Sus scrofa: one gene and its partners. The protein of the gene in region 2 purifies or fractionates together with the protein of the main gene of each other region. This does not show direct contact. Links are inferred from orthologs where the notes say so. Each region holds a gene or a part of one and is shown on either strand. Other genes may lie near its edges. The genes, in order: EBNA1BP2, SRPK3, SON, CCDC86 and FTSJ3.

What was found.
Region 1: the proteins of SRPK3 (region 2) and EBNA1BP2 purify together in Homo sapiens (affinity purification with mass spectrometry; 3 studies listed by BioGRID and IntAct, with this or other methods). This does not show direct contact. The link is inferred for Sus scrofa from reciprocal best matches to the Homo sapiens genes SRPK3 and EBNA1BP2.
Region 3: the proteins of SRPK3 (region 2) and SON purify together in Homo sapiens (affinity purification with mass spectrometry; 3 studies listed by BioGRID and IntAct, with this or other methods). This does not show direct contact. The link is inferred for Sus scrofa from reciprocal best matches to the Homo sapiens genes SRPK3 and SON.
Region 4: the proteins of SRPK3 (region 2) and CCDC86 purify together in Homo sapiens (affinity purification with mass spectrometry; 3 studies listed by BioGRID and IntAct, with this or other methods). This does not show direct contact. The link is inferred for Sus scrofa from reciprocal best matches to the Homo sapiens genes SRPK3 and CCDC86.
Region 5: the proteins of SRPK3 (region 2) and FTSJ3 purify together in Homo sapiens (affinity purification with mass spectrometry; 3 studies listed by BioGRID and IntAct, with this or other methods). This does not show direct contact. The link is inferred for Sus scrofa from reciprocal best matches to the Homo sapiens genes SRPK3 and FTSJ3.

What each region holds. Positions count from the first base shown.
Region 1 is NC_010448.4:168,048,173-168,052,748, forward strand, and holds the start of EBNA1BP2 (probable rRNA-processing protein EBP2), read left to right. Parts: upstream 1-1,313; 5' UTR 1,314-1,714; coding exon 1,715-1,780; intron 1,781-1,862; coding exon 1,863-1,946; intron 1,947-2,148; coding exon 2,149-2,318; intron 2,319-3,132; coding exon 3,133-3,256; intron 3,257-4,576. UniProt on the Homo sapiens protein: Required for the processing of the 27S pre-rRNA.
Region 2 is NC_010461.5:124,522,594-124,527,241, reverse strand, and holds the start of SRPK3 (SRSF protein kinase 3), read right to left. Parts: upstream 3,141-4,648; 5' UTR 3,070-3,140; coding exon 3,011-3,069; intron 2,939-3,010; coding exon 2,808-2,938; intron 2,668-2,807; coding exon 2,559-2,667; intron 2,420-2,558; coding exon 2,332-2,419; intron 2,085-2,331; coding exon 1,997-2,084; intron 1,550-1,996; coding exon 1,443-1,549; intron 1,355-1,442; coding exon 1,189-1,354; intron 1,087-1,188; coding exon 1,061-1,086; intron 625-1,060; coding exon 492-624; intron 410-491; coding exon 170-409; intron 83-169; coding exon 1-82. UniProt on the Homo sapiens protein: Serine/arginine-rich protein-specific kinase which specifically phosphorylates its substrates at serine residues located in regions rich in arginine/serine dipeptides, known as RS domains.
Region 3 is NC_010455.5:197,189,199-197,193,226, reverse strand, and holds part of SON (protein SON), read right to left. Parts: exon of another isoform or gene 3,598-4,028; coding exon 3,450-3,597; intron 1,758-3,449; coding exon 1,686-1,757; intron 1,578-1,685; coding exon 1,462-1,577; intron 982-1,461; coding exon of another isoform or gene 929-981; coding exon 770-928; 3' UTR 1-769. UniProt on the Homo sapiens protein: RNA-binding protein that acts as a mRNA splicing cofactor by promoting efficient splicing of transcripts that possess weak splice sites.
Region 4 is NC_010444.4:10,903,235-10,907,786, forward strand, and holds the start of CCDC86 (coiled-coil domain-containing protein 86), read right to left. Parts: upstream 2,963-4,552; 5' UTR 2,821-2,962; coding exon 2,051-2,820; intron 1-2,050.
Region 5 is NC_010454.4:15,108,539-15,112,508, forward strand, and holds part of FTSJ3 (pre-rRNA processing protein FTSJ3), read left to right. Parts: intron 1-3; coding exon 4-198; intron 199-273; coding exon 274-389; intron 390-500; coding exon 501-605; intron 606-689; coding exon 690-790; intron 791-1,013; coding exon 1,014-1,094; intron 1,095-1,184; coding exon 1,185-1,331; intron 1,332-1,445; coding exon 1,446-1,581; intron 1,582-2,869; coding exon 2,870-3,057; intron 3,058-3,208; coding exon 3,209-3,326; intron 3,327-3,405; coding exon 3,406-3,671; intron 3,672-3,970.

The DNA of each region.
Region 1 (4,576 bases), on a different chromosome or scaffold from region 2:
TTCTGAAATGGCCATCGACACTAGGATGGATAAATACGTTTGAGATACTAGAGTCATATGACAGAATGCTGTACAGTAATAATATAAACGCAGTTAATATGTATCGAGATGCATGAATTTCAAAAGCATACTGTTGAGCAAAAGAAGCGAGTCACAGAATACATACACTATGATTACATGTAAATAAAGTTGGCAAACAGCACAGACTAAAAAAAGCGGCATCTTACCTAAAGCCACACAGATAGGCGTGTAAAACTACACAGAGGAATAAGGGAATAATAGCAAAGTCCAGGGTGGGGTGAGAGTGGGCATGCACGTGGGAAGAATGCAATCAGGGAGAAACGCTGGAACTGGTAATGTTCTGTTTCCTATCCTACGGGCAGGCTCAAAGATCTTTTGTACGCAAAAGTCTTTTGTACGCATTTGTCACAATAAGACCTGCTGCATGCAAAAAAGGAGTCGGAAAAAGAGCAGGTGGTTAAATGGTGGAAACCACGGAAATCAATAGCAGGACCACTGTGAACACACCAGGGATGGTTATTTGTGATTTGGGATAAAACCTCCAGGGTCGTCATCACACATAGACTCAAAAGGTGCTGTAATGAAAGTGGTGTACTCTGGAAAACTGTTGTAAAACTCAAAGACAGCGATATTGAAGATGCATGAAACTCTTCCAAATATTTCTTTCATTAAATCACAGTTTAAAAAGTGCATTAATATTAACATGATTTTACATGTAATCTTAGCTGTGTATGTGCGACTCATTAATCTATACATCAAATAAGGCACGTAGACCCATATTTCTTTCACATTTATAAAACCACAGGTATATCCCAAGTTGGTCAAAGAGGTTTCCTTCTCAATCGTCGGGATGGGATTATGGGATTATATTTGGCACACATGGTTACGTATGTCAGACTGGAAAGTGTTTTACCTGGAATGAATTTTTGCCACTTTTGATCCACATTGTATTTCACACAATGATTTCCTGAAGGAAATATGATGATCTGTTCATCGAAGAAGAAGACATTGTTGGCCACGTGGGATCGAAAACCAAAAACATGCAGCGACTGAGCTACCACGGTGGACATGGTCCCGGGTAAAGAGTTCTGCTGAAGATGAAGCGCAGGTGGGGAGCTCGGAGACACGCGTCACCCCCCACCGAGCCCCCCCCGCCCCCCCGCCCCCCGCCCCCGCGACGCGCCTCTGACCCCGCCCCTGACCCCGCCCCTGAGCCAGACCCCGCCCCCAGGGCCTTCTCCGCCCACCTCCCTTCAGCAGCCTCCTTCCGCGCCCTCGACCCGGCTCCTGCTTCTCCTCTTTCCTTTGCCTTCGCGGCTCCCTGTTCCGGACGATCCCCAGAGCCCCGTCCCACCTGTCGCTTCTGCTCTGCGGATCACCAGACCGCTCGTGGATGCAGGGTACTACCCAGGGATCCTAAGCAGCCCCGCACTTTCCGACGCCGGAGCGGTTCCTATAGCGACGGCAAACCGGAAGTGTGTCTTCGGCTGGAAGCGGAAGTCCCGCTCAGAGGGTTGAGTGGCGGCGGGGAGTTGAGGGCCCTGGTGGTGTTCGGATACACGTGGAGCTGCGGTGGGCGGGCAGCGGCCGGACAGCCGGAGGCGGCGGCGGCGGCGAGGGGCACCCTTTTGTAGCCGCGGAGACCTAGGGCTCCGCTGCCTCCTCCGGCGGGTGTGGACGTGCGCTTTGCGAGATGGATACTCCCCCGCTCTCAGGTTCGGATTCCGATTCTGATGACTCTCTGGTCACCGACCGAGAGGTAGGTGTCCGCCGAGCTTGCTGGGCTGCGCACGGGAGAGGGGTCCTGGTTCTCCGGTACTGACTGCCGGTCGTGCCTGTAGTTGCAGGACGCGTTTTCCCGGGGCCTCTTGAAGCCAGGCCTCAACGTGGTGTTAGAGGGGCCGAAGAAGGCCGTGAACGACGTGGTGAGCTCGGGCGCCGGGCGGGAGGGGCTGGGCGTGGGGTGCGCACGAGGCACGGTTGTGCCCGGGAGACTGCGTTCTAGTCCCAGAGAAGACGCAGCCTGCGCATTGCCAGGGGGGTCCACGACCTGTCGGGGTCTCGAGGGCTAACGCTTGGTTTGTTGGCCTGTTTCCTCCCTGTGAGCTTCGTGTCTGGATTTCCTAGAATGGCCTGAAGCAGTGTCTGGGCGAATTTAAGCGGGATCTGGAGTGGGTTGAAAGGCTCGACGTGACCCTGGGTCCGGTGCCGGAAGTCACTGCCCCTCAGTCAGCCTCCCAGAGCAAGGATCCGAAAGCTGTTGATCCAGAAGACGACTTCCAGCGTGAGATGAGCTTGTACGTCTGTTTTCAAGTGGCAGAGGTTGTGGGTCCCCGAGAACGTGCTGGAGAGTGAGGAGGGGGGAGGCCGTGAGCCAGTAGGGATTTCCTAACCCTGGGAGCCGGGAGGAGGGCTTCTTTGGACCAAAGAGCTAGGAGAGTCTCCCTGGTTGAGAGAAGAGCCCCTTGGTCCAGCAGTCACAGCTTAAAGTCCAGTGTGTTCAGATATTCAGTTTTAAAGTTTTTTGTGTGTGTGCAATTGATTTTAGAATAAGAATTTCCTTATGGGCGGTCCCTGTGGGCTTTTTTTAGTGACTTAATAAGAATATGTAATTGGAATTCGTAAATTGATGGGTTCTTCTAAAGTGGTCGTTCTCAAACGGCTAATTTCTTTTTAGCAGTCCTCCCCACCCCCTTTATTTATTTGTGCATTTGTTTATAATATAGTTGATTTACAATGTTCTGCCAATTTCTTCTGTACAGCAAGGTGACCCTGTTAGACATGCATAGAAATTCTGTTTCTCATGTTATCCTCCATCCTGATCCATCACAAGGGATTGGATATAGTTCCCTGTGCTACATGGCAGGATCCCATTGCCCATCCATCCAAATGTAACAGTCTTCATCCCCACCCCCTTTAAAAAGAGTGTACATCTAAATTTCTCCTAAAAAGTTAGTGAGGTTTTATTGCTGTTTCTGTTTGCATGTGTGTTCTTGCTGGTGCAGCTCAGGTGTTGAGAGGCTCTCTGACCTTAGGTGACTCATGAGAGACAGTGGGGAGGATTTCAGGTCTCTCTCCCTTAGCCTCTCACACTTGGTCCTGTATCTTCAGCTACCGTCAGGCCCAGGCAGCAGTGCTTGCGGTACTGCCCCGCCTCCATCAGCTCAAAGTCCCTACCAAGCGGCCCACGGACTATTTTGCAGAGATGGCCAAGACCGATCAGCAGATGCAGAAGGTGAGAAACAGGGAAGGTGTTCTCTGGGAAACTGAGGCTTTGTGCTTAAGTGCACTCAGCTGGCTTATTTCATTTAGTATTTAAATGAACACAGGCCTAAGTCCATTAATAGGGAGCCACTTGTCAGAGGAAAATGATCTGTTATCTACTTCAGATTCATGCCGTTGACCACCGACTGGATACATATAAGGATGACTTTTTTCTAGGTTAAACAGTTAGGAAAGGGGAGGAAGGTCCTTGAAGAAGTGCGGTCCCTGAGGTAAAGATGGCCTTTTGCGTTTCCTGGCTGGCACGGTCATGGCATAGTGTGTGGCAAAGACAGCAGTTCTTTTTTTTCTTGGTTTGTTTTATTTAAGTACAGTCGATTTACAGTGTTGTGTACAGCGAAGTGACTCAGTTGCACATTTTCATATTCTTTTCCATTGCGGTTTATTACTGGATGCTGCGTATAGTTCCCTGTGCTCTACAATAGGACCCTGTGGTTTACCCACTTTGTATAACAGTTTGCAACTGCTGATCCCACAACCACAGGCCTGTTCTCTGTGAACGACAGTAGTTCTTTCCTGCCCTTTCCTTGGGGAGCCGGGCTGTAACTTGTAGACAGTTAACTTTTTTCTGGGCCTCAGTTTTATCTTTGAGAAAATGAGGGATTAATATACGGCTCAGATTTGGTGTAATTTGGAGTTAGGTAGATCTCGGTTCCCCACTCAACTTTGGGAGGAAGAAAATTACCAACCCCTAACCCAAGATACACTTAAATAGTTCCCTCGGGTCTCAAGCTGGATTTGGGGGAGCTCCTGTCTCTGTGGTACTCGGGGGAGCTAATCTGGAGGTGAGCGCAGACCGATCTCATTCAAACTGGCAGCTGCTCATCCTTTAACTAAAATGTGTATGTTTAATGCAGACCTCCAGGTACCTGATAGCTGTTTGAGGTTTTATTGTGTATGTGGTGTATTGAGCACGGGGGCCGAGGCCACACACCAGTTTAACCACAGTTTGTAGACGTATGAGTGGAGAGAAGTCTTCTTTCCTGGCACAGTAGCAGGCGGGCTGTTTTGTTTAATGGATCAAACAGCACGCTGGGTAGGACCGTTGCTTTGAAGTTCTGGCTCCAAGGCTGAGACTTTCGGTGTCTGGGACAAAGCGGTCACCCCTTGGACCGTCTTGTCCTTGGGTGTGAAGCACAGGGCTGGAAATAGATGATTTACAAGGTTCTTTTGAGCCTTACAGCTTGCAGAACTGGCATTGCCTGGTCTCTGCCGCGGCGCACTCTAAGCAGCCGTCATCTCGTTTTCAAATAACGTGAGTGGACAACATTTT
Region 2 (4,648 bases):
AGGTCTGCGATCTTGATCCTGATCTTGTCTGCATTTTGGGGCTCTAGGGGGTTCACCAGCAGGTTGGAGGCACCAAATGGTGCTGGGGAAGCAAGAGAAGGAAGAGAGACTGAGCTGGCCTGGCCCGCCCGGCCCCGCCTGCCAGCCCACGCCTTCCTGCCCGACTCACTGCTGGGCGACAGGAGGCCCCCGGTCTCCCGCTGGTTGGACGAGCCCGAGAGGATGGAGCACGATGCAGGGGAGAAGAGGGAGCCTGAGAAGCCTGAGGTCTGCGAGCCGGGGCTGAGGCTGCGGTCGCCCCCAGGGGCAGGGGAGGAGGAGGCCGGAGAGGGACCGGGCCCGGCGCCCCCGGGGTGACAGCCTGAAGAGGAGGTGGAGCCGCTGCCCCCCTCCAGTCTCGAGCCAGAGTCTGGGGAGACGGGCGGAGGTGCTGTGTGAGCCGCTGCCCCGCGTCGCATGCCAGGCAGCTCTGCACCCCTCGGGCCCCTCACCCTCGGCCTGGGCTGCCGCCTCCATGGCCTCCAGCCTCTGCAGGTCCCGCAGCCGCTCCTCCAGCAGCCGCTTCTGCTGTTTCCTTTTGCGCCTCATCTTCTTCCTCTTGTTTTTCGACAGCTTGCCGCTCTGCTGTTAGAGCCGGGGTCACTCCGAGGCTCCTGTCTCCCATCCCCTGAGCAGCTCAAGCCTCTGCCCGCGGCCTGCAGGCCCCAGGGCTCCGTGGACACCAGCACGCGGTGCCGCCCCCTCCAGTCCACCCCTTGGCTCGGGCCCCTCACCCGCCTCCCGTCTCCCCGCCCGCCTTCCACCTGCCAGAGCTCAAGATTCGGGAGGAACCAACAGGGCTGCCCCTGGGCCCTCCCGGCCTTAGACGGCATCCTTCCTTCCGCTGGGGCAGTGGCAAGCCCAGCGGCTGCCCAGGGCAGTTTGGGGCGCGTGGAAAGAGCTGGGCCGCTCAGCTGGGGAGGGCGGACAAGCAGGAAAGGGTGGAACCAGAGAGGCTGAGAGAGTGAGCTCTCAGGACACGGGAAGATGAGGCCTAGGAGAAGAGGGGCGCCCAACTTACCAAGACTTCCTGGGGGGCAGTGCTGACTGTGGGGTGCAGCAGAGCGCGGGCCGAGAGAAAGGAACAGAGACTCAGGCAAGAGCTGAGGCCTGCAGGCCCCGGCCCGGCCCGCTGCAGGTTCTTGGTACCTGTGGAGCGGGAGGGGGGTGGTGCCCCTGACTGCTGCCACTCTGTGGCTTCGGCAGCCAGGCGCCTGATGTAGGCGTCACCCACGCACAGCAGGATGTTCTCGGGCTTGATGTCTGTGTGGATGATCTTGCACTTGGTGTGTAGGTAATCCAGACCGTGCAGCACCTGGGGAGAGCCGCTCCTGAGCGCCACCGGCCCCGCCCAGGCTGCCTCGCGGGCGGGGCGCCGGTCCTGCAGGACACATGCTGCCCACCTGCCTCACGATGCTCTTCACACAGGGCACGGGCAGGCCCTGGTAGTTGGACTTGATGATCCACTTGAGGAGCTGGTGGCCCAGCACCTCCAATACCATGCACACATCTGGGGCCAGGAGTCAAGGGCAGCCACCGGGCACGCGGAGCCCTGGTCCTGCCCCCCCCACCCCTTAGCTGCACTGCGGGGAGCCACAAGGCTCAGGCCGTGCAGAGCTGGGTCTGGAAAGTCCTGGCGACCACCTTCCCGGGGTCATTAGTGTCCCTGTCACTCGGCTGTGCCAGTTGGGAAAAGGCACTGGGCGGGGGGAGCCGGGCCCGTGGGTGCCAATGAGCCTGCACACAGACCCCCACGGAGCCAGCCCCTGCCACCTGTGGGTAATCCAGCAACGCCCCTGGGTAACGACCAACTGGGTTCTCGGCTCTCCCCCTGCGCGGAAACACGGTCCGCAAGGCAGTCCCTGGAGGGATGAACCCCCGTCATGCGGTTCAGGAAACCGAGGCCCTGGGAGCCGGGAAAGCTGCCCCGGGGCTCTGCTCAGCCTACAAAGGATACGAACTCCGTTCACCCCTGAGATCCGGAAGTCGTCGATGAGCTGGACAATGGTTTCTCTTTTGGGGTCACTGGGGTCACTGTCCCGCACCTGGAGCCAAAGCCGAGGGCCCAAAATGACTCCGACCCGCCCCTCACCAGCCACTGCCCGGCGGCTCCGCCCGGCCCCGCCCTCGTGCTCCGGCAGGTCCTCCCACTGCGCAGAGCCAGCTGGAGCCGGCCCTCCGGGAGCCCTGCCCGCCCGCCCGCCGAGCCGCCGAGCCGGCGGGCCTTGCACCCACATGGCCAGGCTCCGGCGGCTCCTGGGGAGCCGGGAGTGGGCAGGGGAGGCGCCTCACACATTTCAGGAGCTTGATCTCATCCACAGCTGTCTCCGTGTAGTGCCCCGCGCTCTTCACCACTTTGAGGGCCACGAAGCGCTTGCGCCTGCAACACCCAGAGCCGCGTGGGCTGCCGCTGCTGGCCGGACCCGTGGGGCCCTCGTGGCGGCCCCAGCCACAGCCGGGATCCCAGCTGGCCTTGAGCCCGGCGGGCGGGGGGGGGGCGGTGCGGAGGGGGCACTCACTGAATGTCCCAGCAGAGCCAGACGGTGGAGAAGTGGCCCCAGCCCAGCTTGCGCACCACGTGGTACCGCCCATTGAACAGGTCCCCGATCTTCACAGGGTAGTAGCCGCCTGGGGAAGGGAGCCCCTGGAGCACGGTGGGGGTGTCGCCTTCCCCTCTGCCCCGGGACGGCCCGGCCCTGCCCGCCCCCCAGCCACGCGGGCTGGCTCCGGCCCCTCCTCCCCCCGGGCCGCGCCAGGCCAGGCCTCACCCTTGCAGTAGTCCTTGGGGTCCTCCTGCTCCTCGTCGTCGGAGCCCAGCAGCCCCTGCAGCATCCGAGGCGCCGGTGTGGGGGGAGCTAGTTCGGATCCCGAGGACTCGGGCCCGCAGGAGGCCTGCGAGCTGGGGGTGAAGTGGGCGGGCCGTGAGCGCACGAGGTGCCAGAGGCCCCTGGCGCCCCGGCCCGAGCCTTACCTGCTGCTGCTGCTGCCGCCGCTGTCCCCGCCGCCGCCACCGCCCGTGCTGGCGCTCATCCCGGCGGCGCGGCCCGCAGCTCCGGCGCCCCGGGCGGCTGCTCCTGTGGGGCCCGGCCGCGGCCCGTGCATTTATAGCCTCGGCCGCTGATCTCACCCGCCTTTATAAATAGCCTCCCAGCTGCTCCGCTGTGGGCAAGGTATGCAGCGGGGAGGGGGCGGTGCGGTGACAGCGGGCCCCGGAGAGCCCGGCCCCCAGGACGAGCCCCCCTTCCCCAGGGGGCGCCACTGCCTGACCGGCAGGACCCAGCCTCCGCACGGAGTTCCCTCGCAGCCCAGGGCCCAGAGGGACACCCACAGCGGGACATGGGGACCCGGTCCCCAGGCTAAGCCCCTGCACCCCAGGGCTGGCAGAGGGGGCCACCAAGGGGCACTTGACAGTGACTCGGTCCTCGAGCAGTCCCGGCACTGCAGGGTCCGCTAGGGGGGACAGCCAAACAGGGGCACTGTGGACCTGGCAAACTGGTCCTCAGGCCAAGCCTGTACCCCTCTCACATGCCCTCGGGAACAGGTGACACTTCGGGAACATTCTCTGGCTTCCGGCTTGGCCCTCGCGGGAGCCTTCCCGGAGGCAATCTCTGCCATGCCCACGGGTACCGCATTCCCCGCTCACTTTCAGCCAGGTGCCCACTTTCCTGTCTTAGGAGTCAAGGACCCACCAGGGCTCTAGCACTATGGCCCTGTGTGGCTTCCCTCCCAGCTCCCTGGGGCCCGGGTCTGGCTCCACCCCGGGCCTGCCAACCCTGCCTGGCTCACTGTCCCCACCAACGTGTGTGTGCGCTCGGGAGGCGTAGGGAGCTGTGCACCCTGGCTCTCCCTTCGGGGGCCCTCCTCAAGCTCTCGTGGGCTGGTGACAGAGCGACGTCCAGGTCAGGCAGAGCCCTCCGGGGCTGCGACCTTGGGGCCGCATCCAAGGGACCAGAAAGGAGAACTGGGTCGCCAGAAAGGGGGTGGGGTTAGCCTCCAGGGAGGCAGCGGGACGGGCTGGAGATCTCGGTGGCTGGCCCTGGCTTACGAGTGGCTGCGGGTGGGGAAGACGAGCAGAGGTCTTGGGCCACCAAGGAGCCCCACCCAGAGCCCCTGGGCACAAGCGTGGCGTTCCGGCAGAGGCCAATGGACACTTTGGCTCTTCCGAAAGAACACTGGCTGCTCCCGGGACAGAATGGAGGGGGGAGGAGCTGGTGACTGTCAGGGGGTCAGGACGAAGCAGAGGGGCCTTGGCCGTGACTGGTCATCCCAAGATGGGAGACACTTGGTCCCACATCCTTGTGCCGAGAAAAGAACTGGGTAGGGGGGCATAGATGGGGGTCGGGGAGGGAGGAGAGTGATGGCTGCGGGTCCTCTTTTTCTCAGGCAGTGGAAGCCATCACCGGGGGAGGCGGGGCTAGGGAGTGTGCTTCTTCTAAAAAGACATACGTCTATTTTATTTCCAGACGTGAGGCTCCAGCAAGTACATAAATACAGTGGGGGAGGGGGAGGGAGAAGGATGGGTATAAATTAGAAAGAAGCAGGGCCGGGGGCGCGGGAGTTGGATGGTGAGGCGCCAGGAGCCCCTCCTACTCTCTGCCGGCCACTCGGG
Region 3 (4,028 bases), on a different chromosome or scaffold from region 2:
TAGATAAGATGGTTACAGCATTTTAATTATCATTTTACGTCTACCTAGGTGTAGCTGAAATTCAAAATGCACATCAAAGTAAGACTATATCACAACTCAATGCCATACTAAATGTACTTGGCCTCTGCAGTAGAATTCTAGTCAGACTTCATTTGGACTCCCTTCTCATTCATGGCCCAAGTGGCTTTGACAGAAACGCAGGACTTAGTGCTGATCATCACACAACATACCACTTCCTTTTTTTTTTTCTTTTTTTTCTTTTTTCTTTTTACAACCTCTACAAAATTTTAAAGGGGAGATGGTGGCATTAGCCCTGTGGAACAGATCTTGCTTGATTACCTCAATAACACTGGCCCAGTATCTGTCCAGCAGAACCCATTGGGAACTAGTACAAGGTGCACAGCCCTTCACTGATTACAGGCAAGTGTTACAGCAGCCTAGCCATAAGGAAGGGGAGTTACATCATAGTACAAAATACAGTATAAAAGCGTTATTTAACATTCCACACTGAAGATTACGGATGCCTTCAAACAATCGTTTGGATGTTAGCCACTTAAACAAATACATCACTAAGGTAAACAATATAAACATACCAAAACCCTGTATGGTTAAATACAATTTCCATGGTACAAAAATCAAAGCCTGGAGATGTTTGTACAGATTGCTTTTTACACAATGTCTTAAATTGCCAAATATTTACAACATTAAAGAGGAAATACATTTTGATGCAGAGTAAAATTATCTGAAATGATTAATATAAAACCTCAATCTATCTACGTGAGGCACTCCTGAAGCAAGTGGCATTAGCCATGAGGTCCTTTGGTACAAGGCCCATTGCTTGAAGAACCACAGTAGCTGCTGTGGCTTTAGCATGCTTCTTATTAGGGCTGGCAAAGCTGGGCTGGTAAGCGCTTCCATTTATCAATACCTATTCAAGAAAAACATACAATTGGGCTGGTAAGGGCTTCCATTTCTCAATACCTATTCAAGAAAAACATACAATAAGAACAGCATCAAACTTTAATATCTATTAGCTTTGTATTTTTTTCACTAAATGCTAGAAAAGTAATTTACAAAAATATAACACCCATACTATGTAATAAAGCAAATTAATCTCAACCCCCAAAGAAGCAAATCATTTCGGAAAAGAGACTGCAAATTAAGTGCAGGTCTCCAAATTGAAGGGGTGGGGGGAAAAGCCTGATAAAAACTGCTTAATTCCCCCCATGTTCCACTAGAAAGGATTAACAAATTATTCATCAAATTTTGCCCACATCTTTCCCTCCAACATTTTTTTAAAAAAATCAACAGGTCATTTTTTAAAATGCCACCACTCTACCCACACATATACACATTCCCAACCCGCAAACATTAATCCTGTGATCATATGATGCTTACCCCTCACCCTCTAACATTAAGTCATAAAACTAGTATAGAATTAATGCAGAAATTCATATTTACCCTAAAGAGAAAATGTTTGCGATGATCAGGGCCACTATCATGGACCAGAAGAAATTCAGGTGGTTGCCACCTTCTCTTATTACAGATTTCCATCAAGGCAGACACAGGATGTTTGCCTATACAGAAGAAAAAAAACGGTTATTAATTATCTCCACACCTGTGGCAACAAATTATGAATTCAAAGAGTGGGTGGGACAGGAGGATATTCAAAAGTGTACTCTCACCTGACAGATCTTTCATGGCAGCAGAGAAGTTTCCAGACCTCTTTTGTGCTCTTTCTCCTACTGCAACAAGACCTTAAAAAAAAGAAATTCAATTTATTCATTGAACATTTATGCAATGTTCACTGAATGAATCTCGAACCAGCATTTAAAACTGTAATAAGGCAAAACAACCACTCCCTCTATGTAGGAACCTGAACTGGTTCCATGGCTTCAAATACAATATTTAACACCCACCACTACCCTTGACTTCTATATAAACCTTGATTTCTATTTTGCCCTTTCAATATATAAATCTCTATTTTGTATTCATAGATCTCAATATTGGAAACTGCAAAATTAAAATGTTCCAAAAATACAAGAATTTAATATGTGAACACACATATAAATTGTCATAATTATCAACAACTGTGGGTCTGTTTCTTTGCAAGTTTAAATACTGGTGGCTATTTGCAGATGATTTCTAAAGGTTTTCCATCCCTTTAAAAAAAAAAAAATGAGGCTTAGTTTAAAAGTATGTTCTCCAAAAGGTGAGGATTTTAGACCAAAACAAAGTTTAAAAAAGCAAGAAACGCTCTCTAATGGGTAAATGGACCCGTTTTTTTCTCGGGAAACAAGCCCTTTCTGACTTCAGATATGAGATGTACTCAAGAGACAGACTCAGCCTCACTTTCCAAAAGAAGTTTAGCTCTATTACCATCCAACAAGTAATACTTTCCATTTATCTTAGGGTGAATTCTTCAACCAGTTCTTTGCCAATTCTGCCACTATGCTTTCCCAAACCTAGGCCAACATGGATGCAACACTGCACAATTCCAAAAAGACTACTGCCTCAAATTACGCAATGCATCCAGATGTTTTTTTCCAATAAACCCCAAAGAATCCATTCAACTTATATAAAGCAGTATAACGTCAATGTGACAATCAGTACAGTGTCTTTTCCTAATTTAATAGTTTGAAGTAATGCCACATTAGGATGTTCTTGTGCTATTTCCAGCCTGCTTTTGATTATCAGGATTACAATGAATTCCCTCCAAATGGAATAAAATGGCAACACAGTATTCTTTGTGGGTGACAATGTAGAAATTCTAATAACAAAACCTTTTAAAAAATACATAATTTGGTCCGGGATAGTGGGTGTCCAAATCCATTAGGACAGCAATTTAATTGTAATCAAAGTTAAACTGAGGTTAATGCAAAGACAAGGAAAACAAATTCTAGTTTTAAATTTTCCAGTATTTAAAAAGCAGGCTTAAACAGGCAGCCCAAGTGATTCTACCGGGGACCTTATTCCAAGGGAAGAAATGAAACAACTATCAGCAGTTGGTTTATTACTCTCTAGTCCCAACCCAACAGAACTCAATTACTGAGCTCAAAAAAAGGGACATGCAAAAAGGGTTTTGAAAATGAAGACTAAACAGCACTCTCTAATAGGAAATGAGATTCAAATCCTAGAACCAAAGACAAGCATACGTTCCTTCCCTGTCAGGGGAAAACAAATGGTAAATTCCATTTTTGAAACATGAAATCTAACTGAAAGTTAAATCATATACTGCACACAACAAAGGTTGCCCTTGAAGCTCAAATTAGTGTTTCCAGCTGTATAAGCTTCTGAAAATGGGGGAAACTTTTTTTCCTAACCAAGAGCTTGGTATATACTGTAAGGAGTGCCTCCAGTTCCAGGTCACTGATAGCAAAAGAATATTTATAACAGTAATGAAACCCTAAATGGTAAAGGACATATTAAAAAACATTCTAAAAACTTACCTTTTCGGTCTGTTTTAAAGTCAACTAGGATAGGTTCCTTATTTCCTTCTTTGTTTTTTCCTAATCCTTCTCCTTCTCTCCAGCCCATTTTTCTCATCAAAACCGCTCCCATTCCTCCAGTTACTGGGGCTGCTCTTAAGAATTGATCCTATCCGAAGAAAGAAAGGTAAAATATCCGCATTTTATAGTTAGAATTTGACTACAAACTCAGTGTAACTTTTTCAAAAAAAAATCTTATTTTACTTCTATATCTGTTGTAGCAATTAAATGCTTCTATACCTGTATACATACTGTAGTGTGTATGTTCTAATTATTTTCACATAAACATAACAGTATTTTGAAAGGCAAATAAATGGCAGTTTTAAAACAGTGGTCCTTGTGCCCCCGCCCTCCAAAAAAAAATTAGAACACTCCTGTTTTCGTCCACTATTTAGGGTCACTGGTATCTCTTCTTAGCTTGCAAAATAAAAAGAAGGCAGTGTTAAAACAGTCAATAATATTAATTGTCCCAGGTGTACCTAGTTAATGAATAAAGCCCAGAAATCATTTAGAAATAGTTTGGACACTGAAGAAGTATAC
Region 4 (4,552 bases), on a different chromosome or scaffold from region 2:
GGATGCTAGTCGGATTCGTCAACCACTGAGCCACAATAGGAACTCCAAGAACGAACTACTTTCTGTTCTTACTTATCAACTTGTTCAGCTCAGTGCCTGCTGTGTGCTGGGCCAGGGAAATCTCACCATAGCAGAGAAACCCCACTCTCTGGTCTACAGGGAAGCTGGCAGCCAATAAGAACCACACACGTAAACAGGCATTTCTGCAAATGGGGGGGTGTCACAAAAGAGAAGTTCCACCCCATGATAACACAGCTTGAGGACTGAACCCTGCTTGGGCTGGACGAAGAGGGCTTTTCCCAGGGTAAGAGGGCTTTTCCCAGGGGGATATTTAATATTTAAATTTGCTATTTAAGCTGATCCCTGAAAGATGGGCAGGGACTAGTCAGGGGAAAAGCCTTGCAACAGAAGGAACAGCATGTGCAAAGGCCCTGAGCTGGGAGGGAGCATCACCTACAGCGGGGGACATGGCGGGAAGGGCGGTGGGGGAGGTTCTCAGTGATGGCAGAGGATGGCAGCGCAATTCCAAGGGAAGAAGGAAGTCGGGAAGGGTTTCAGCTCACGGTGGGATCTGGGACAAAATAGCCTCTTTCTCTCGCTGCTTGGGGTCTTCTGCCGACCCTCTCTTCTGGCCTGTGCATGGGTGCAGCCCCCTTTTGCTCAGAGAGCTCAACTTCCCCGCCCCCTCCGAGTACCAAGGCCCAGGGTCCCACACTCAACTTGCTCATCACCCTCTTTCCACTGAGCCAACCCCTTCATCTGGATCTGCATGGCCATCAGTGGCCTCACTGTTCTCTGGGACCTGCTGGGACCAAGGCGGAGGGGCCATGCCACCATCCACGTTTCTAAGTCCAACAGTCTAGAGTCTAGCTTCGAAGTCTCTGATTGGGGTCTTGTAGCAAATTATTCCCTCAATTTCAGTTTCTTCTCCGTTTAATGGGGGAGGAGGTGGGGGAGGGATTATACCTGCCTTGGGTTTCAGGGGTTCAACAACATAGCATCTGCAAAAGGCCTAGCCCAAAGCTTGACACACAGTCAACTCTTGGGAAATGTCTGCTTCTTCCTTAAAATCACTGCCTTCCCTGATGGTCCCTTCTGGCCATGAATTCCTGACTGCCCAGTGGTTCCCACTACCTAAAAATGTGAACTGGATCCCACCTCTCCTCTCCTCACTTCCCTCTTCAGCTGAGCCTCTTCATTCCTTCACTCAACAAGCATTTAATCAGGCACCTGCTGTCTGCCACAGAGAAAGACAAGCAAGACAAGACAAAATGTCATGCCTACCCTTTAGAAGGTTGTAATCCAATGCACAGCAGATCTACAGAGCACAGGTAAAGGGCTTCCATGCACGGACTCTGGAATCCAATCTGTGCTCGGCTTCTGCCTCTACCACTCATGCAGCCTCCTTGAGCCTTGGTGCCCTCGTATGTACAACGAGGATAATCCTAACAGCTTCATGGGGCTGATGTGCAGATTAAATGTCAAGATGCAGGAGTTTTCCTTGTGGGGCAGTGGGTTAGGGATTTGGCATTGTCACCACAGCGGCTTAAGTTGCTGCTGTGGCCCGGGTTTGATCCCTGGCCTGGGAGCTGCCGAAAGCTGCAGGCAAGTGAAGCCAAAAAAAAAGAAAAAAGAAAAAAAAGCCAAGATGCATGCTTCTACCATTTGAAAGGCCCTTCCCCTAACCAATCCTTACTAGAGGGCTTAGCAGCTTTCTATATTGTCAGTACTTGGTAATGCCTTTTATTAAAAAGGCAAAAAAATGTAACATAATGGTAAATACTGTTTTACTTGCTTCTGCCTCCTTATTAGAGAGGGCAGAGTCGAGGGTAAATGTGTGTTGAATGAACACACAGATGAGAAGAGGTCCACTGAGGGCATTCCTCCCCAACATCCCGGTGCATCTTACCACATTCTGATTATAATTACCTGTTTGTGTGACACCCCCACTTTTGTGAGCGCTCTCCAACCCAGGGGGCTATCCCCAGGTTGTGCCCAGGCCCAAGCACCACACAGAACCCCATGCCCGCCCAGGTGTCGCCTACTTCACCTCTTCTTTGAGCGGTCCTTCCACACTCGCCCAGACTTGGGCTTCCCCTTCGGGATAACAGGAACCTCCTCTTTCTTCTGCTTTTTGGACGCTGGGGCCTGGACTGAAGAACTTTCTCGCTTCTTTGGCCCGAGGACGTCTCTCCCCCTTTCCCTGGATGGAGCTGGCTTGCTTGGCTCGTTCTGATCCTGTGGGGAACCGGGTGACTGGAGTGGCAGCTCCTGCAGTGGCAGCTCCTGTAGTGGCTGCGAGGGCTCCAGATCCGGCGCTTGCTGACCGGGGTAAGGCTCTAGTGACCCTGGGCCCAACTGCAGCTGATGTTGGGGAGACTCCGGGGTCTGCTCCGCCTTACTCCCGGCCAACTCCGAATCCGCTTCTTGGTCCTGGGAGAACTTTGGTGACTCCCCATTTGGCTTTGACTGAAGTCCTGGGGTTTCAGGACTCGATTCCGGCTGCCTTTGGGAAGACTCCAGACCCGGATCTCGCTGACGCTGGGGGGACCCTGGGCCCGGCTCTGGCTGTCTCTGGGAGGACCCCAAGCCTGCCCCTTCCTGTAGACTGGGTGAAACTGGAGCTGTCTCTGACTGACGTCTGGGGGACCCCAAACCTGGTGGCTGCACATTCCGAGGAGACCCGGGCTCCCTCGCTTCTTCTGGGTGCGACTCGAGCTCCACAAGGGCCCGTCTCGCCTGCAAAACTGGGGTGGGGTTCTCGGGGGATTCAGGCTTTAGTCCTTCCAGCCGCCGACTGCGCCTGAGAGGTGTATCCATGGCACCGCCAGAGTTTCTAAATCCAAGCCCACGTGCAGCTTCTGGGACTCCCGGCGCCGTCCTATGACGTCAGGAGACGCCACGTCTGTGTAGGGCAGGAGGGGCTGTTGCTGCGGAGGCCATGTTGGTGATGGGCAGATAGGCGGGTACAGAGGAGTCCGGGGCGGGCGGGGCCTGGGTTTACTAGGCGCATGCGCAAAGCGTTTTGGCACGTTTACACGCGATTGATGAAGGAATGTCAGCTTCAGATCGGGGTTTGTCATTCCTGCGAACCCAGTCTCCGGGGAAAAAGAGTGTGCCGGTGGAGGAAGGAAAAGGGGTCCTGTTTTCGGGAGAGAAGAGGATTGGGAAAAGATCCAGGGAGCTCGTAGGCAAGGCTGGGTGAAAACTGCCAGTAACTCCTCTGCAGTTAGGGGTCCTACCCAGTTTGTGCCTCAGTTCTCTCATTTGTAACACGGGTGCTTTTACACTAGTTTAGTGTATATAAAATGATCCTGCCAAAGCATCCTGACTGCCAGGGTGAATGCTACTTGGCAGATCCTGAAGGTGGGAAATTTCTTAAGCCCAGTGTTAAAAGTAATCCTTGCTTTCTCTTCTCCCATCCTATGCCTAAATGTAAAATCGATGGCTCTCCTTTGCAACATTTTCAGCTTTCTGCATGAAGTTGGAGTATGGGTAAAATGCACCATCTGCGGCATGCCCAGGCCCTCAGCCCCTCTGCACACCTTTTCTGGTACCCCTTCTGCCCTAGTTCTAGAAACAGAGGTCGGATTGTCTCTGGGTTTTATTTCAGCCAAGACAGCGGTCCTTGCCCTAGTATGTGAACTTGTCTCCTCCCTCCTTTGCGTGACACCCAGTTGGGGGCTTTGAGTCACTCAGAGCAGACGCCTTTCTTAGGAAGAACATCTTGGCAGTTGCCCAAATGTACCCCAGCTCTTCCCTAGTGTATTTTTGGAACTTCCTGGGGATGGCGCTTAGGCATCCCAGGGTCCTGGTTCCGCTGTCCCAGCAGCTTCTTTTAGACACTATTGTTTCTTCAGCTGAGGGGTTATGCGTGGGCCTGGGAAGTTGTCCAGAGGTGCTCAGGGGGCAGAGGAGGAAGGCCAGGCAGACAGCCAGGGCCCTCAGCACTGAGCTCAGCTCCCACCTGCCGAGTCACTCTTCCAACTGTCAGATGGGGTGCAAGGTGACTTGACTGCTGATCAAGAGGAGATGAGGAGGAGGAAAACATAGGCAAGGTTCCTGGAGGATGGAAAAGTGGATTGAGGATCCTTTAAGACCTCTCACCCCTTGGCTGGTGCCACACGGCATCCACAACATATCTTGATGAATCTAGCGTTTTGAAATCCCAAGGGTACTTAAGGGTTAGGCGCTGGCTCTGCTACTCCACTACCCTTCCCTGTTGTCAGAAAGTTGCATCCCTGTGCTGTAATCCCGTGTCAGTCCCTCCCTTCCGGGCCACTTTCAGGGGCTCCACCCACAGGCTCAGTGCCCTCATGCCCCTTGCTCCTGGACCAAAGAAGCCTCTGCAAGGAGGCTATGTCTCGGTGCCCCAGCACAGCGGTGCAGGTCCCCACTGCAGAAGCAGCTCAAACGCTTCCTCACCCATGTCTTCCAACCCTCAATTCTCAGTTCCCTAATTCCCTGCCCCAGCCTGGAGGCTATGCCAAACCACACCGGGCAGGCGTTACCAGGGCTGTGGAGGAGATTACATGCCACTGCACTGCCCCAC
Region 5 (3,970 bases), on a different chromosome or scaffold from region 2:
CAGCCCATTTGACCCTGATGGCTCTGCGTTTGGCTTGCGATTTTCTGGGTCGCGGTGGCTGCTTCATCACGAAGGTTTTCCGTTCTCGTGATTATCAGCCCTTACTGTGGATCTTCCAGCAGCTCTTCCGCCGTGTCCAGGCCACTAAGCCCCAAGCGTCTCGTCATGAATCTGCAGAGATTTTTGTGGTCTGCCAGGGTGAGCATTACTTCAATCTCTTGACTCAGTTTTCACCTGCCACAGCGCCTGTTCTTACATATCTTATTGTCTTAGGATTCCTGGCGCCTGACAAGGTTGACAGTAAATTCTTTGACCCCAAGTTTGCCTTCAAGGAGGTTGAAATTCAGGCCAAGACTGTTACCGAGTTGGTGACTAAGAAGAAGCCAAAGGTGTGTTTGGGGAGTGGGGCCACCCCGAGGACCTGGAACTCTGGGGCGGTTGGGCCCGAGTCCTCAGATACCCCAGTAGGGACCGCTCACCTTCTTTCTTTCCCTTCCAAGGCTGAAGGCTATGCCGAGGGTGACCTCACTCTCTATCACCGAACCTCAGTCACTGACTTCCTCCGAGCTGCCAACCCTGTCGACTTTCTCTCCAAAGCCAGCGAAGTGAGTCCCCAGACTTGGGGGGTATGAGGGAGTCCCAGAAACATGGCCTAGCGTCTCCCAACTCCTTTTCCTTCTCCCCAACAGATTGCAATAGATGATGAAGAGTTGGCACGGCATCCAGCCACCACCGAGGATGTACGGGCATGCTGTCAGGATATCAGAGTGCTGGGCCGCAAGGAGCTTAGGTACACGCCGGGGGGCAGCTGTAGGTGCTGGGATCCAGAGGCAGGGAGGGCCTTTGAGGGTCTTGACATTGGGTCTCTGGGAACAGGATGCTGCTGTGCTAGAGGTTTGGGGTAAGGGTCTGAGCCCTACGATGTATGTGGCTCCAATGTAAACTTTGGGGTATGAGGCAGCGGTGGGGACAAGAGGGAGACGGTAAGGTCAGGAATGGTATTTCTGGGGCAGATCCCTACTGAACTGGAGGACGAAGCTTCGGCGACATGTGGCCAAGAAGCTGAAAGAACAAGCAAAGGCAATGGACATCAGGTGAGGAGGGAGCTAAGCCAGGGCAGGTGTTGACTGGGTGTTGGGGGAAGCGTCTGGGAAAATGACCAAGTCCTGGGCCTGTTCTGTCAGCCTCAGCTCAGGGGAGGAAGAGGAAGGGGAGGAGGAGGAGCAGGCGGCCCGGGCCTCGCAGCAGCCCTCTAAGGAGGAGGAGGAGGAGGAGCAGCTCAACCGGACCCTGGCAGAGATGAAGGCCCAGGAGGTGGCGGAGTTAAAGAGGTGAGAGGAGCTGGGGGAGCCCCATGGCAGAGCCCCTTGGGGCGTGAAGGCGGGGGAGGGGTGAAGGGACACTCCAGAGCTGGGCAGCTTTAATTCCTCGAACCTTCCCCTCAGGAAGAAAAAGAAGCTGCTGCGCGAGCAGAGGAAGCAGCGGGAGCGTGTGGAGCTGAAGATGGATCTTCCTGGAGTTTCCATCGCCGATGAGGGGGAGACTGGCATGTTCTCCCTGCGCACCATCCGGGGTCACCAGGTGAGCGGGGGGCCTTGGTGAGGGTGCCGTGGGGTCATGGCTCATGGCTGTCTGCACCCAGAAGACGACTTGGCCAGGGCAACTGGGAATAAACAAGAGCTTTGGTCCCACAGGCCAGGAAGGAACCCACACTTAGAATGCTGAATGTAGGAAGGTTTGGGTGTGCTAGAGCTGCGGCCTTGTGGGACTAGTGCATTACCATAACCAAGGCCACTTGTTGGAGGAAGCTCAGCTTATGGGAGATGCAGCCAGGGGCCTGGCTCCCAGCATGTGTGATGGAGGCTTTCCCTCAGAGGAAGCGGCCTTCAGCTCGCTGAACCCAGGTAGCACTGTGCTGCACTAGGCTGCGAGATGGTGCTGGCTGCTAAATAGCGGAGAATCTGTTTTTCCTGATAAAAGCAACCTCACCAACAAGATGCGCTTTCGTGGCTCTTGTGTGGGAAGGTACTAACCAGGTCGACTTGCTCCACAGCAGTGGCAATAAAGCACTTACATGCTCTGCCTCAGATTTTTCATCTGTAAAAGAATTAATAGAACCTACCTACTAGGATTTTTGGAAGGAATATAAAAAGATGATTAGGTGGAACCCTGGTATGTGACTCAAAGAGTAGCTATCTTTACCATGAGGAAAATGGATTTTTGGAGTTGACAACTGGCTTATAAGTGAAATGGTACCTCCTGTTAGATGTATGTTGCATGGGCTCTTTTATTCGGTAGAAACAAGAACTGTAGATTATTATAGTGCCTTCTGCAAGTAAATTTTTTAAAAAAATCAGTGTTTTAGGACATTTTAAAGTTTGACACTAGGCCATGGGGCACTTTTTCATAAACTTTTTTTCTGCTACTGGTACAGAAGAGAGCTGAGTGACCTGGCCTAGAACGGGATTTTTTTTTTTTTTTTGGTCTTTTTAGGGCCGTACCCACAGCACATGGAGGTTCCCAGACTAGGGTCTAATCAGAGCTACAGCTGCCCACCTATGCCAGAGCCACGCCAGATCTGAGCCGCATCCGCGACCTACACCACGCCGGATCCTTAACCAAGTGAGCGAGGCCAGGGGTCGAACGCACAACCTCATGGTTCCTAGTCAGATTTGTTTCTGCTGTGCCATGACAGGAACTCCTAGAATGGGATGTTTTAAACAGTTTAACCCCATCACTTCCCTGTCTGTAAGAGAAGGTACTGTACTCGCCAGTGTATTTCCTAGTGTTCCCAAGGATAAACTAAGATAAGATGGATGGGGAGGGAGGCAGGAAGTCCTTGTCAGCTCCTTTGACCACTGTGTCTCAGTTGTTAGAGGAGGTGACGCAAGGGGACATGAGTGCTGCAGACACGTTTCTGTCTGACCTGCCAAGTGATGACATCTACATATCAGACGCTGAGGAGGACGACGACGACAGTGCATCTCTGGATAGTGACCTGGATCCAGAGGACCTAGCAGGAGTCAGAGAACCTCAAGGTCTAAAGGACCAAAAGCGGTAAGGGAGGTGAGGGGGTTATTGCAGGAGGGAGTCCTCACCCCCCTCAGCCCGAGCCCAGAAGCAGAGCTGGTGGCGGGTGTGGGGGCTGGAGTGGGGGAGCAAGTCCTCCAGGGCGCTGACTCTGCACCTGTTTGCCTCCGGTCTACAGTGTACGACTTGCTGAAGCAAATGATGAGAAAGAGGAGGAGGGAGAGAACCCGCTGCTGGTGCCACTCGAGGAAAAGGCGGTACTGCAGGAAGAACAAGCCAGCCTGTGGTTCTCAAAGGCAAGCAGCAGCTGGGTGCCAGGATGGCCGGGACTGGCGTCCTCAGGGCAGGGGGTGTCTGACGTTTTTGCCACCACAGGATGGCTTCAGCGGGATCGAGGATGATGCTGACGAGGCCCTGGAGATCAGCCAGGCACAGCTGTTGTACGAGAGCCGTCGCAAGGGGCAGCAGCCACTGCCAGCACCTTCCAGCGTGAAGACTGAGAGAAAACCACCCCCATGCCAGGGTGAGGCCCCTGAAGGGGCAGGGGCTCCTTCAGGGACAGAGGCTGCCACAGGCCCTGGCGGGGAAGCCAGAGATAGCAGCTCTGACAGCGACAGCAGCAGCAGTGAGGATGAAGACACGTGAGTGGTTGCAGCTGACGGGAGAAGGGATGAAGAGGAGCAGTGGTTCTAATCGTTGCTAAGTTGGGGGTCTTCAACCTTGCCGGTAGATGGGGAATTTAAAAAATACTGAGTAGGAGTTCCCATTGTGGCACAGTGGTTAACGAATCTGACTAGGAACCATGAGGTTGCGGTTCGATCCCTGGCCTCGCTCGGTGGGTTAAGGATCTGGCGATGCCCTGAGCTGTGGTGTAGGTCGCAGACACAGCTTGGATCTGGCGTGGCTGTGGGGCTATGGCATAGGCCAGCGGCTACAGCTC